Drosophila melanogaster: one gene and its partners. The protein of the gene in region 1 purifies or fractionates together with the protein of each later gene. This does not show direct contact. Each region holds a gene or a part of one and is shown in the gene's direction. Other genes may lie near its edges.

The links.
Region 2: the proteins of Ccs (region 1) and CG6432 purify together in Drosophila melanogaster (affinity purification with mass spectrometry, with the first as the bait; one large-scale study listed by BioGRID). This does not show direct contact.
Region 3: the proteins of Ccs (region 1) and Yod1 purify together in Drosophila melanogaster (affinity purification with mass spectrometry, with the first as the bait; one large-scale study listed by BioGRID). This does not show direct contact.

What each region holds. Positions count from the first base shown.
Region 1 is NT_033778.4:10,120,916-10,124,882, reverse strand, and holds Ccs (copper chaperone for superoxide dismutase), read left to right. Parts: upstream 1-2,308; 5' UTR 2,309-2,358; coding exon 2,359-2,373; intron 2,374-2,424; coding exon 2,425-3,068; intron 3,069-3,129; coding exon 3,130-3,265; 3' UTR 3,266-3,310; downstream 3,311-3,967. Other genes in the region: dmpd (dampened), read right to left, coding at 3,857-3,967.
Region 2 is NT_033777.3:24,334,823-24,341,645, forward strand, and holds CG6432 (uncharacterized protein), read left to right. Parts: upstream 1-2,099; 5' UTR 2,100-2,211; coding exon 2,212-2,248; exon of another isoform or gene 2,249-2,426; intron 2,427-3,024; coding exon 3,025-4,042; intron 4,043-4,098; coding exon 4,099-4,409; exon of another isoform or gene 4,410-4,473; coding exon 4,474-4,619; intron 4,620-4,732; coding exon 4,733-5,245; 3' UTR 5,246-5,823; downstream 5,824-6,823. Other genes in the region: Dis3, read left to right, coding at 1-689, 746-1,414, 1,472-1,847.
Region 3 is NT_037436.4:5,131,896-5,136,670, forward strand, and holds Yod1 (Yod1 deubiquitinase), read left to right. Parts: upstream 1-1,975; 5' UTR 1,976-2,044; intron 2,045-2,324; exon of another isoform or gene 2,325-2,450; 5' UTR 2,451-2,495; coding exon 2,496-3,539; coding exon of another isoform or gene 3,540-3,611; 3' UTR 3,612-3,775; downstream 3,776-4,775. Other genes in the region: CG15212 (uncharacterized protein), read left to right, coding at 1-38; CG15213 (uncharacterized protein), read right to left, coding at 1,003-1,173, 1,233-1,250; CG10674 (uncharacterized protein), read right to left, coding at 3,945-4,115, 4,183-4,338; CG4611 (uncharacterized protein), read left to right, coding at 4,577-4,775. UniProt on the Drosophila melanogaster protein: Hydrolase that can remove conjugated ubiquitin from proteins and may therefore play an important regulatory role at the level of protein turnover by preventing degradation. Involved in the regulation of DNA damage repair.

The sequences.
Region 1 (3,967 bases):
TGATGATGCTGATGTTGCTGCTGTTTTCGCTGCTACTGCTGCTGCTGCTGCACTTGTTGCTCGACGTTCCGTTACTCTCAGTTCGAGTCCCAGCTGTTTTGCACGTTCTTTTGTGTGGCTGCGTTTCGCGGTGAATGGCAAGAAGCGGACTGCTACTACACAATAACAAGTTAATTAATTGAAGTTGTCGCTGTGCGGTTGGAGGAATTGTTTTCCTCAATTTGTTTGGCTATTTGTTGCTCCTGCAATTGAATTCAATCTTTCGCTGGCATTTGTGTATATCAATTATTTCATTCCTTTTCGATTTAAGGCTGCGCGCGTCGATGACGTATTTGAATTTTGGCACGCACACTCAAAGACGCAAAGGCGAAAAGACCGAGATGAAAAAAGATTTCGGGGTCTCGCTTGTTACGCGCTTAGTAAGCTTTTCCGCTCGCTATAAACACTAGAAAAAGCGTCAACGTGTTAAAATTTTCTGCTGCCGTTGTTGTTGCTTTGCCGACGATGCTGTTGTTGTTACTCAGATTAGTTTACACTCCCGCACTAAATCGCTGAACATGTGTTTTAACGCCGATGGTACGAAAAATACTGATTTGGTGAGCGAACGTCACAAAGCTAATATTAAAATAAATACACTAGCCCGTTATGTTTCTCTCTCTCTTCGCTCTCTCACTCTCGCTCCAAAAGAGCGTGGCGTTCGACCCGCAAATACAAATACCAATACCAAAGCCCCACTGTAAGGGTCATTCTGTGCACGTGTGTGTGTGCGTGCGTCTTTGTGGAATGCAAGTGAAACAAAGGCAAGGCTAATTTTCCGTGGCACGCACTATCCAGACCAACTTATCTATCTACATTCCCGACACACGTATCCTTCCAGGTGATTGTTTCAGAGGCTGACTTGCATTTGTTGCTCTCTCACAAAACAAGGCGACAAAAATCTTTATGCTATTTATCAACAAGAACAGCTGTTGCCATTAGTCGCTGCCCCAAAGAGAACATTGCCTTTTTGTGTGGGCGTTCTTCTCTTCAGAGTGGCTCAGGGCGTATGGCGTCGATCTGTCGTTAGGGTGGACCATCTCAGACTTGTAAAAATTATTACGGATCTGCGGAACTAACTCAACTTATATATAAGTTAATACAAACATTAAATAATATTACTAATGTGAATAGCCACATAACCATTGGGAAAGAAACTAAATTTCTTACATTCCTAGTGTTGAACTTAAGGTCTAGTAACGGTACTCTAATAGCGACTAATTGTTATCCACCGATATCATTCATCTCTATCCCTAGATCGACGTGCTAAGAAAGGCCTTAATTGACAAAGCCATGTGCCGACTCGCCAAATTTTTGGGAATTGAACGGTTTTATCATAATTCTTTGTTGTAGTGCTTCCTTTTACAGTTCTTCAATTGAAGGCAATATTAAATATTTCTCAATTGTTTTTAAATTGCTATCAATAACGGGGTCCAAGTGAAATTAATTTATTTTGCACAATGAAAGTCAAGGCGCAATTGGCTGCAATAAAGTGGCGCGCATGGAAAAGCTTCATTCATATTGGTTGCACGTTTTTTTTTTGGGCCTCAATAAGCCAGCATCTGTCGCTTGCGGTTTTTGTAGACAAAAATTAGCGCTATCAATTCCAAAAAATTAGCATCATTTGGCTTAAAAATACTCTTTATGGCCATTGATTAAAACTGTCGGCGGCCATAAAGAAAAGTTAAGCCAAAATTATAAAACGTAATATGAAGTGAATGGAGCTACAGGTCTGAAAATTAGCACGGAAATTAAATAAGTTAGCATCTAAGCTAGTTCGGGGTTAGCGTTTTGAATCGGTCCAGAAGAGTTGGACAAAGTCAGCTTAAGATTATAAAATTGTTGGTCAAACTAAACAGAAAACCAATGATTATATCCAAGGTACTTAGCCCTATTAAATTAAGCTTTAATCTATTCACTTAAAATATAGTTGTAATCTATATAAATTTCAAACATCACAAATATTATTAATATAGTCATTTTGGAAATATGGAGTGACTTAAATAGAAATACCAGAATTCATTTTCTTCATCAAAAAGCACGCAATTTATGCAAAAGTTCAAAACCGAAGCTAGTAACTTTGGTTTTGTAAATGTAAAACGTTCTACGATAAAAATATTACATCTGTGTTCTAATACGTAACTAGTAATATCAGTTCAACGTTATAATTTATTGGATAAGTGGTTTACAAACGCCTTAAACTTTCGTTCCGTGTGAACCTATCGTTCTTCGATGACAGAAGGCGCGATTTGTCTGAACCTATCGACGGCCATCGATACCAAAGTTTGTTTATCATTGTTAGTCGGCACTTTGACCATAAAAATGAGCTCCATTAAGGTAAGTATATGTTATTCGGGTCAGGAAACTTGCTTCCATGTTAATGTGCAGATCGAATTTGCAGTGCAGATGCGAAGAGGTGACGAATCCTATGCCGGTGCCCTCCGTTCGGCGCTGGATGGGGTCGGCCAGGTGGAAATTGACACCCAGGAAGGTCGAGTGATAATCCAAACCCAACGACCTTGGTCAGAGATTCAGGACAAGATAGAAGCCACAGGTGTCCGGGCCGTACTCTCCGGATTCGGCGGCCAGTCGGCGGTGGCCCTTATAAACACAACAGGAAGTGTAGTGGACAAGACACCAATCCAGGGAGTGGTTCGGTTTACCACCATTACCGCAGACAAGAAGCCTGGAGTGGTTGTGGATGGCGTTGTGGACGGTCTATCGCCTGGACTGCACGGATTACATATTCACGAGAGTGGTGACACTTCCGCAGGTTGCTCGTCGGTCGGAGAACACTACAATCCCCGCCAGTCGCCACATGGAAGCCCTGCAGCTGGGGCAGAGGAGCGGCACGCCGGAGATCTTGGCAACATCCGAGCGGATGAAAACGGCAGGGCCACCTTTAGATTTGTGGATCCAGTGCTAGAGGTCTGGGACATAATCGGAAGGGCTGTCGTCCTAACAGCCAATGCCGATGACCTGGGACGCGGGGGCAATGATCAGAGCCTGATTGACGGCAACTCTGGGGAAAGGTATGTAAATATGCCCCACTTTCAGATTGATCATTGATTTGTATAACTCCTTTCCCACTAGGATTGCGTGTGGTATAATTGCTCGTTCGGCGGGCATCTTGGAAAACTTTAAGAGAATCTGTGCATGTGATGGGGTCACACTTTGGGATGAACGCAATAAGCCACTGGCTGGCAAGGAGCGCTCACAAAAGCTGTAAACTTGTTTCCATCTTTAATCTTGTAAATAAAATTATCTTATCTCTAGGTGTCACTTTCCACATTTTGTTCTAGAAGTTTCTGTCGCGACAAAGTCCACAGAACATCAATTCTCGTTCCGCAATTAAAATTAGTATACTAAAAACCACATTCGTAGCAGTTGATTTTAATGGTTTTAAAGTTTTATTTAAAATATTTCTTTGCTGTTTTTCTTTTTGTATTTCTTAGTTAAAATTAATTTGCTTTTTAATTATTATTATCTGTTTTGCTCTGCCAATGACTGCCGGATTCGTGTGATGTTCGTGGTTAACTACAATTTGTTTTTGCGGGGCGTTAAAACCGAAGAACATACAGACACTTGTTGTACGTGATAATAATAATAATAATAATGAATAATATTCGAAATGCCTATTGCATTTGATATTAATAGATATATGTGTATATAATATTAATTTGATTCCTCCGTTAACACTACGGCGCATGCCTCGTTCCCTAATCCACATCCGTGGGGTCAGGTGAACGACGGCATGCACGCTTTATATGTAAATAAGTGGTAAAAAATATGTAAAGTGTATATGCGTAGGTCCTAATGCTTATTTACTGCGTTTGCCGGGCGTATTTACATATCTGTTGGCCTTTTGTACTCTACGTGCTTTTTTCGCCTCCTCCGGCTCCTCAAGAGCCTCCGATCCGGGCGCCACATT
Region 2 (6,823 bases), on another chromosome or scaffold:
ATCGTAACGATTGACACATGGCCGCGCAACTCGCGCTACCCACATGGACATTTTGTGCGCTCCCTGGGACCGCTCGGAGACATGGCCACCGAGAACGAGGTTATCCTGCTGGAGCACGACGTCCCGCACTGCAAGTTCTCGGACGAAGTGCTTAGCTTCTTGCCGAAAATGCCCTGGACAATTACTGACGAGGACTATTCCAAGCGTGTGGATCTGAGGGATCTGTACATTTGCTCTGTGGATCCCCCGGGCTGCACGGATATCGATGATGCTTTGCACTGCAAGGAACTACCGAACGGCAATCTGGAAGTGGGCGTTCACATAGCCGACGTAAGTCACTTTATTCGTCCAGGAAACGCACTGGACATGGAGGCAGCGGCCAGGGGAACCACCGTGTACTTGGTGGGCAAACGAATCGACATGGTACCCGAGTTACTCAGCTCAAATCTCTGCTCATTGGTTGGCGGTGTTGAGCGATTCGCCTTCTCCTGCGTGTGGGAAGTGGACAATGAAGCAAATGTGTTAAGCAAACGCTTCCACAAGAGCGTCATCAAATCGAAGCGTGCCATGACCTACGAGGAAGCGCAGAATATCATCGACGATGCCACGCAACAGAATGAAATAGCCAAGTCCCTGAGAAATCTTAATCGGTTGGCCAAAATACTGAAAAAGCGACGAATGGATAATGGGTAAGATTATATTAACACCTCGTAATCAAGTGAACTAAGGCATCCATAATTTACAGAGCCCTTGTCCTTGCCTCCCCGGAGATCCGCTTCCAGGTGGACAGCGAGACACACGAACCACTCGAGGTGGAGGTGAAGCAGATGCGCGAGACGAATTCCATGGTGGAGGAGTTCATGTTGCTGGCCAACATCACGGTGGCCGAGCATATCGCAACGGAGTTCTCCGAGTGCGCTGTTCTGCGTCGCCATCCTCGGCCACCGCCTACCAATTTCGATCCGCTGGTAAAGTCTGCGCGCTACCAGGGCTTCCAGGTGGACATCAATTCGGGACTGGAGCTGTCGCATTCACTGGACAAGTGTGTCAAGGCGGATAATCCGTACTTTAACACAATGATCCGCATCCTCACCACACGCTGTATGATGCAGGCAGTGTACTTCATCAGCGGCAGTCTGCAGAAGGAGGAGTTCTTCCACTACGGTCTGGCTGCTCCCATCTACACGCACTTTACGTCGCCCATTCGTCGTTACTCCGACATTATGGTACATCGCCTGCTGGCCGCCTCAATCGGCGCGGATAGCACCTATGCCCAGCTATTGGACCGAAAGTCAAATGAGGAGCTGTGTCATAATCTTAACTACCGCCACAAAATGGCTCAGTACGCTGGTCGCGCATCAGTGGCCCTCAACACGCATCTCTTTTTCCGCGGCAAGGAGGAGGATGAGGAAGGGTGAGTCGAAGAAACCACTAGTGGGCAACATTCTTTTCAATTATTACCCATCCCTAGATATGTGCTATTTGTGCGCAAGAATGCTCTGCAAGTGCTAATCCCCAAGTATGGCCTGGAAGGCACTTTGTATCTAAAGTCGGACAAGGATGGCAAGGACGGTGTGGAGCGCGTCAAGAGCGAGATTGTCTTCACCTTCAACGAAGAGGATCATACACAGCGTTGCGGTGACGTGGTGTTCCACTCCTTTGATCCAGTCACGGTTCGTCTTAGCCTGGATTCCAGCAATGTGCAGCACGAGAAGCTGATCTTCCGGCTGGTCAAGCCGTACATCAAGGGCTTCAGCGTGGAAACGACCACCGAAGGAACTGATAGCCAAGCGGTTTCTGCGGCACCTCCATCGAAAAAGACAAAGAAGGATAAGAAAAAGAAGTAATTCTTTGGATCTTTGCTTATGTGGAACTAGACTACGCTGAAGATGTGTAACTACAATCATTTCGTATAAATAAAATGTAAGGTTTTTAAATTCCGCTCCGTTTCGTAAACCTTTTCCACCGTTCCGGCTCTGCCGATCTCGGAGAGTTTCGAAAGCATACCTTTGATCGGGTGTTTTGTTTAAGGTTTTGGTTTCCAACTTGCGTTCTACATTCTCCAGACCCATTGCAAAGTTTCGACTACAGTGCGACGGTTGTGCTGAGCTCGTTTGATCCAAAAAATTCAAAAAGAATATATATAATAAATACATATATACATTAACTTGACTTGAATATATACAAGAACGGAAGTTATACAAAGTTACAATGGAACCCGGTCCTAGTGCAGTGAACTACGAAGGCAGTAAGTCGAAAAAGGTTTCGAAATTCATATGAAAAGGCTAAAAAATTTAATCAATGAGTAATCGCGTGATTTTTGCGGAACATATATTTATATCGGTACACATATTTTAATACGCATATTGAAAACATCAGTTAAAATAAACAACTTTTAGAACATCAAATAAAGTGCTTGGAAAACTAATATGCCAACTTTCGTTGTGATCTAAATGAATTCTATAGATTTTCGAATTTTCCAAAAACTATCTAAGTGGAGTCCAACTTTTTACAATATTCTTGGATTCTTGCAGTGCGATGTAGATAGATAGATAATTTATGCACAAGAGTTCAAGGTGATAAATATTGTGTTTTAAACCACTGCTCGCCAATTAAAATAATGAACTTTCGATGCGACTTTGAAGTGATTAATTAGTGTTTAGTTGTGCGCCCAAACTGTCGGCACTAAATATTAATGAATTCGATTAGCTTATTCAACAAGGAGGCTTTTAGGTCCAATATCCATCGCCAATCACGTGTGGATTATGCTCGGCGTCTGGGTGAGCCGCACACCCGACGCATATGTGCAGTACATGGGTGCCAGGTTGGGTATATAGAAATCAGTTGAGTGACCGCGACATTTGGAAAATTTAAAATTCAATGTGCCTGGTGTGTGTAAGGTGGTATGGAGTGGAAGGTTTGTAATTTAGTTTGATAGCCTAATTAAAAGCAGCGATTAACCCAATAGAGGAAACAATGAACCCGCCCATCTAATGGTCACCTGCTGCTATACCTTTTCCGCAGGTGAATCTGTATGCGGCATGCCGGTGGAGGCTCACGATCCTCTCTACTTGAAGGCCTATCGCCAGAGTGTTCAGAATCCGGCTGCATTTTGGGAGGAGCAGGGTAACCTGCTCGACTGGGATCGGCCATGGGAGAAGGTACTGGACAACAGTAATCCGCCATTCACCAAGTGGTATGTGGGTGGCTACCTGAATGCCTGCTACAATTCCATTGATCGCCACATACTGGCCGGCCGCGGCTCCAATGTGGCCCTAATCCATGACAGCCCCTTGACTGGCACACTGCGTCGGGTTACCTATCAGGAGCTGTATGACCAGATCGTTCTGCTGGCAGGCGGCCTGGCCAAATTGGGCGTGGTCAAAGGTGATCGCGTCGTGATCTACATGCCCCTCATCCCGGAGACCATCATTGCCATGCTGGCAATTGTGCGTCTGGGTGCGATTCACTCCGTGGTCTTCGGTGGCTTCGCTGCCCGCGAACTCTGCTCGCGCATCGAACATGTGGAACCAAAACTGGTGATCGCCTCCAATGTGGGCGTGGAGCCGGGCAAAGTGGTGCCCTACCTGGACATCCTTCATTCAGCTATTAGCATGTCGCGATGGCGACCACCGCAGCGTAACATAATCTTTCGGCGTGATAATGTTTCGCCAGATACCACCAAACTGGATCCTCTGACGGATGTGCTCTGGTCGGATATTCTTAAGATGGCGGAGGGCGAGCGGCCCATAGCCTGTGTTCCCATCGAGGCCAACGATCCTTTGTATATCCTCTATACCTCTGGAACGACGGATAAGCCCAAGGGAGTACTTCGCACCATCGGAGGTCACTTGGTTGCTCTGGTGTACACGCTGAGAACTCTCTATGGCATCAATCCTGGCCACACCTGGTGGGCGGCCTCAGATATGGGCTGGGTGGTGGGTCACTCGTACATCTGCTACGGTCCACTCTGCCTCGGAGCCACCAGTGTTATGTACGAGGGTAAACCGGACCGTACTCCTGACCCGGGTCAGTACTTTAGGTGAGTGGTTATGCCCCACCTTGTTTCTTACACATATTAATTGTACCTATATTCAGGATCATCGACCAATACCAGGTGCGCTCGATCTTCTCGGTACCTACCTCCTTCCGTGTTATCCGTCGTGCTGATCCGGACATCAGCTATGGGCGACAGTACTCCATGAAGTCGCTGCGTGCCATCTTCATTGCCGGCGAGCACTGCGACTACGAGACCAAGTCCTGGATCGAGAAGACCTTCAAGGTGCCCGTGCTCAACCACTGGTGGCAGACGGAGACTGGTTCCGCGGTCACCGCCACATGCCTGGGCTTCCAGCAGAACCTCAGTCCGCCCACTTACTCCACTGGCTTGCCACTCATGGGCTACGACGGTGAGTGATGCTCCAGTTAGCTTGGCTGAGTGAGGATTTAAGTCCTGGGACATCTCTCTTGCAGTCAAGATCCTGAAAGCGGACGGCAGCGAGGCGCAGACCTCGGAGCTGGGCAGGATTGCTCTTAAGCTACCACTGCCACCCGGAAACATGGCCACTCTTTACAAAAACGAAGAGCTCTTCCGCACGCTTTACTTTCAAAAGTTTCCGGTAAGTCACCAAAAGCAATTCCCACAACTTGTTAAATATCATTTAGTTACTATAGTATAGTGTATGGCTTATATCTGAAATCTTAAAGATACTTTATTTTATCTTACACTTAGGGTTACTATGATACAATGGATGCGGGCTACAAGGACGAACGTGGCTATATCTTTGTGACAGCTCGCGACGATGATGTAATCAATGTGGCTGGCCATCGCTTGTCCACCTCTAGCCTGGAAGACGCCGTGCTTCGGCATCCGGACGTCGTGGACGTGGCCGTTTTCGGGGTGCCCGAGGCCACCAAGGGACAGGTACCACTGTGCCTGTACATTCCGGTGGAGAACTGCAAGAAGACCGATGCCAAGCTGTCGACGGAGATCATCAAGCTGATCCGCGACGTCGTAGGCCCCATAGCCGCCTTCCGGCTGGTCACGTCCGTCAACAACCTGCCACGCACTCGATCCGGTAAGACGATGCGCAAGGCGATGGCGGACTTTGCCCGCAATGAGCGCGTTGTCCTGCCGGCGACTATCGATGATGCCAGCGTGTTCATCGAGATCCGGAGGGCTCTGAACCAGTTGGGCTATGCCATGACCGCACCGGATCCGATTGTGGCCAAGTTACTCGACTGATGGGTTGCAAGGACCCTCAACCTTAACCTTAGCTTGTACGATACGATTCCCAAGAAGTAAATAAAATGTAAGCCAGTTTGGCTGGGGGTTTTCCTCCGCTTATCTGCGTAGGCCGCAAAGTGGCGAAAATAATTTAAATGTTAATCGATGGCCTACATGGTGACCCATTCGCGCCCATTCGCCCATTATCCACTTTCCAATTCCTCCCTGGCGCACTGACGCACTATTCGCGTACAACTGACACCCAATCAGTTTATTCAAATTTTGTGCAAATTTCGCGACACATTGTTGGGCCAGCAAAGTGTGGATTTTTTTCGAATAACCAACACCCCACATTTCGCAGTTCGCATATGGCACTGGCATTGCATTATTTGGGCAGGATTTGTCCACATCAAAGATGGACAGCAAATGTCAGGCAGCCAACCATAACCCAATTAGTGGGCTTAACGTTGGTGGGCATCGTGGAGTGCATTATCCATAAGTAATCAAATCCAATTCTATCTTATTATATTAGCAAAGTCCATTTTGTGTGGGTATTTCTAGAGGCAAACAATGACATATAGTCATAAGGCAAACACAATTATACAAATAGTTTAATAAAGCGTACATATGCATTTCATTTCTTTTGTTGAAAAATAAAACTCTATTATATTTTTAATTTCTAATTTTTAAATGACACTCGTAACTATGACTATGCTTTTTATGGTAAATTCTCTATCTTCTCACTGCATTAGTCACGCTGACTATAACAAAAGGAAGGCAAATTAGATTTCCTTCTTGCTTAATTCGAATTTTCCCGGTCCAAGCCCAGTTTATATGTGCATCGTGGTCATCCCACTCCAAGATACTCATCTCCTGACGTCACAGTCGAAATTCTTATCGGGGAACTAACTTGGCATGCGAAACACGCACAAATTCAAATTAATTGCAACGCTTCGCCTGCAAATCCCAGTCTCATAAACCGAAGATTACTATGCTTACGCATCCGTGGAGCAAAATGCAGTGGCCAGGACAACGGCTTTAAAGTTGCGGCTTAAAGCAGATCCCCGTGGGTTGGACAGCACAATATTCGATGGTGGCCATAAATGATTATAACTACCCATAAATAGGTGATGGTTGCCGGCCACTGATCATAAAGCCGACAACTTTTACAGCATAATTAAGAGCTGATAAAGTTATATAATAGATAAACATATTGGGGAAACTCGGTGGGCTCCCATTTCCATTCCCACATCCGCTGCTACCGTCCAACGTTTGCCAAGTGCACACATCGTGCTTCGGTCGGTGTCGGTGGCGTATGAGTGATGTTTGAGCACGCCCACCAAGTATCCTGCAAGGAGCGCAACATGTGGTCCCACGTCCCCCATCACCAAGTTTTGTGCGAATCCTGCGTGTATATTGCCGTCAGCCAATCAGAGGCCACCGCGGCATCTGCGCTCGTCCTCGGCGGAAGTAAATAAAAGCGGATGTCCTGGCTGGACAGGACATCATTCGAGTGCTTGCGTTCAACAAGTCCAGCAAACAGAGCAGCAGCTGAACCCCGGTGTTAACAACTAACAAGTTTGTCCATTAACTTCT
Region 3 (4,775 bases), on another chromosome or scaffold:
TGAAGAAGCTGCTCAAGTTGAAGAAGCTCCTGGGTTAGGAGAAATTCGCAATAAGCTTCGTTCAGATTCTAGTCCAGCCAATTGGGAACCTTGCCTCCCCCACTACATTCGATTTTCAAACCGTTTTGTTTAGACAATACCCAATAAGCACAAACACACAAACACACACAAAAGCACATACATACGAGTAAAGTATACGTAATCGTAACTAAAATAAATGTTATTTTCATACACGTCGGCTTTTCTTATATCATCGAAGCGTCGGGGATGAGATCTCCATGTGTGTCCAAAAAGGAGCTAATGACTGGCAGCGGGTCGGGTTTTTGTTTGCCTAGATCTGAATAAGAAACCCGTTTCGGATCGTTTCTGGGTAGAGAGTGTGAAAAGCGAACGGAATCTTCCTTACATGCGTATAAATATTGGCCAATCTCAGTCGTAAATGAATCAAGTGGGTTCAATGATGTGCTAATACAAGGAGCCCACTGTGAGATTAATGATCATACCTACTTTCATTAATTGGCATGATTAGTTAACTTGATATGCCAGTAATATTATAGCTTAACTAAATATAATATATTAAATATTTTCAAGTATCAAAATTATGTAAAAAGTAACGATAACTCATCACATATTGACATATTGAGAGCTGGTCACGAAAAATCGGACATGATTGCCATCAAGTTGAAGCACATGGTTCCAGCCTTTCAACTTACCATAAATTTTAACATTCAGGTGTATTAGTAGTATTAGGAATGATTTTAATGTGATCGTAAAAAAAGAAAATTATTTGGAATTGAAGGTTGGACCTCTTCAAACAAAAGACTTAAGAAGCGAACTTGTTTTTTTTTTGGGCACCATTTTGTTTTAACCTTGCAATAAAAAATGAATAAGTAAAGGTTTCGTTACCAAATACTTTCTTTAATTTCACTCTTGTTTTTCTTCTTAAAAACCTAAACACATGTTAAGTTAAACTATAAATCCATAAATGTGAGGGTGTGGTGTCTAGCCCAGGAACAGCAGCTTCTTGAGCAGCTTCAGCTTGAGCAGGAAGGATTGGTCGTCGGATGGGTTGACGGACTCACTGCCAGGACCTTCGAAGCCATCGGGAATGGCCTCCTCGCGAGGAGCAGCACTGGTGGCCATGAAGCACACGGCAAGGCAAAGGAAGACGCTCTGTAAAGGAAGGGTCAGTAAAGTTCCTTGGTATTCCGTGTCGATTTTTAGTGACGCACCAGGAGCAAGAACTTCATGTTGTATGTGGCTAGATGTATGTAGTAATCGATCGATGGATTCGCACTGCGCGTTGACAGACCTGCTTGCACTGATCACCAGACCCCGCCGACCCGTCTATTTATATGCCTGTTCAGTTGAGAGTGAGTTGCTCGGCCGGCAGACCGCTCGTCTTTCATAGAAACTAAAACAACGCGAAGCATCAGCCAAAGATTCAGTGATTCACATGTCGGCGGGCGGGGTGGTATATCAATCTGTTTGGACTATTAAAAGTGATTTTAGTCCAACACGCAATGTGATAACAAAAGCCAGGTTCCCTTTTTCGTAGCCAAGTAGATTACCTTATTGTGGTGCCATTGTTGAACTTGCGACGCCTTATGTTTGGGCAATTTGTTGACTTGCGGTTTCTCCGGCTTCACTTCTTTTTGCTAATCGGTGTTTCCTTGGTTCTGGGTTCTATTTGACTTGGCCATTAGCTGCGAGCGGAATCTCTGCTAAATATTAATTAGCAACTTGACATTGGCCTTAACGTTCAGATCAGCCATTAGCTTTTCGTTCACACCTCCATAATAGGCTAGAGTAGCTGAATTATCCGAATATAGTTATATTTTTAAGTGTGTATGCTGGCAGACGGCGAATAACCCATTGCGCAAAATTGATAAGATTTTGAGATTTAAATTTAAGCAGGCGGTTTGAAAATGCCGACCTGCCAACTTTTCGAAATTAGCTGCATTGAGTAAATTAAAAGTCGAATGTAGAGTTATTTGTAAATTTCTAAATATTTCACATCCAAGCTAAAATCTGTAAAATCGAAGTAATTTTATTCTTATAATTAAATGTGTTTACATTTTAATTAAGATTTGCTTTCCATAATTATCAATCAAGATTTACAAAATGGAGTAGAAAAGAGGAAAATACATAAATCTCCTCTTTGATTTTCCCACTTTTGAAAATTTAAATAAATAGCGCCAATTTTCCAGTGCTGCCACTCTTATCAAAAAGTTTGCAAGAGAACAAAAAATCGATTGGCCTCGCCAACAACATTACTCACTGCACTAATCGATTATAATTATATATTAAAGCACAAAAAATACCAACAGATATCGAAATTCGATAGCATCGATACGCTGTAACAAACAAATAAAAAAAAAGAAACAAATTAGTCAAATTACAAAATTTATCAGTTATCCAATTGCACACAAAAACCAACTCAAAATTAGCCCAATTTCCATCGCAGGCCCACACGAAGAGAACAAACGGATACAATGACGGGTTCGTTCAGTGTGAAGCTCAAGTCCAAAAAAGGTCAATTCATTGTCAACGACCTGAACGAGCATACGACGCTGGGGGAGCTGAAAACGAAAATAGTCCAGGCCACCGACATCGAAGCGACGCAATTGCACGTCCTAGTAGGCTATCCGCCCAAGCCATTGGATCTCTCGCAGCAGCAGGAGCAGCGCGCCCTCAAGGCGGTCGGAATCAACAGCGGAGAGACGCTGATTGTGGAGGAGAAGGCTGCCCCTGCTCCTGCTGCCCCTGTGCCTGGCGGCACCACCGTGGAGGATGACGAGGCGCTGGCGCGTCGTCTGCAGGCCGAGGAGGAGGCACAGCTGCTGCAGGAAACCGCTGGCGGTCCAGTCGCCCAGGCAGCAGACTACCAGCTGCCAGTGGCGCCGACGGAAAGCGGACCGAATGGCGACTTTAATGGCATACTGCTGAAGAAGGTGGTGCCGGCGGACAATTCGTGCCTCTTCACCAGCATACGATTCGTGCTCAACGGGAAGGTGGACAACGAGGGCAGCGAAATGATGCGTCACATCATTGCGCAGGAGGTGGCCGCCGATCCGCAGAGCTACAACGACGCCGTGCTGGGCAAATCGAATGCCGAGTACTGCGCCTGGATACAGAAGGCGGATTCGTGGGGCGGCGCCATCGAAGTGTCCATACTGTCCAACTACTATGGCATTGAGATCGATGTGGTGGACATACAAAACGCCATTATCAATCGCTTTGGCGAGGACAAGAACTTTGGACTGCGTGTCTTCCTGCTCTTCGATGGCATCCACTACGATCCGCTGTACATGGAGACATCGCCGAGTGCTGCGCCGGCCACCATCTTCCCGGTGGAAGAGCTGGGCGTCTATCAGCAGGCCGAGCAGTTGGCCAACGAGGCGCAGTCCTCCCGCCAATACACCAATGTGGATAAATTCACGCTGCGCTGCATGCAGTGCGATGTCAGGCTGGTCGGCCAGGTGCAGGCCCAGGAGCATGCCAAGCAAACCGGACACAAGAACTTTGGAGAGATTTAATACGTCCTGATCTTCGGCACCGTCTACATTGTGGCATTCATGCTGTTCGCCTACTACCTGCTCACCACCTAGCCACAATCGCCGTGCGAGGAGTCATCTCATTAGCAGTACTACCTCCACATCACCGCCTACCTAAGTTATTAATTATTGAATTGAGCCCAGCCGCCTGTATTCATGTTAGTCCCCTTTTAATCCCTTTCGGAATGCAATAAAATATACCTTCATCTACACTAGGCAAGTCTTGGAGTTGGTACCTATATAGCTATAAGGTCAAGTTCCAGAAAGCTGTCCTGAATTCACAAGGCAACCAACTACGTACGTACTTTTTTACTGAGCGTCGAACAAAACCGAGGCTCTCAACTGTTCAATTACATTAAATTTAAAATAGTTATCTTAGGTCCAGTGCTAGGAAGCCCATGGTGGGGTCATGGCAGCGGGATTCTGGAGGTAGGACATCACCACCGCACTGACGCTCAACATAAAGGAGGAGAGCACCTGTTTGGCATCGTCGCTGGCCCGAGAACTGGCGAAACTAATGCAGGAGCAGTACAGCGCAAACCAGGCGCACCACTTGAGCTGTGTAGGTGGGTTACATACTGATAAATGCCAAGTCACTTGGTTGTAATCTTTGGGGTGTTATTACCTTCATCATCAGTCCACACATGGAGAAAATCATGCCCAGAATGTTCATGTAATCCGGCATCATGTCCTCGTTGGCGCCGCCGCTCTGGCCCTGGTTCTTGGGCGCCTTGTAGCGGTTGATCTTCTCCTTGCGGCGCGGATCCACGGTCATGTTCATTTTTAATTTATTTAATTTTCACCAATTTAATCGAAAAACCAGGTCAGATTGCAATGGATGTTTGCGTGGAATGTGAATGCCGTGCAGGTTGCTTACGTTCTTATTTGACTGGCATTTCGGACACAAGGTGGCAACGCCCCTTCATCAGCTGTTTCTTTATTTACACCGCCGCCACACGCACGTTTAAAATAGTTTTTTTTTAATTACATAAAAATCACAGAAAATTGCAACAGATAACATGGCTCTGCGGTTGATTAGCCGTTCAATGAGCTGCCACATACGTGGCTTGCAATTAAATGCCACCGGAAGACGGTTAAATAGTTACAACATCAGCCGGCTGGTTATTCTGCCTGCAACTTGGTCTTGCTCACAAAATCGCCTGCTGCACGTGAGGATTACGGATCAACAAGCCGGTTTGGAGACCAAACGAGAGGCCA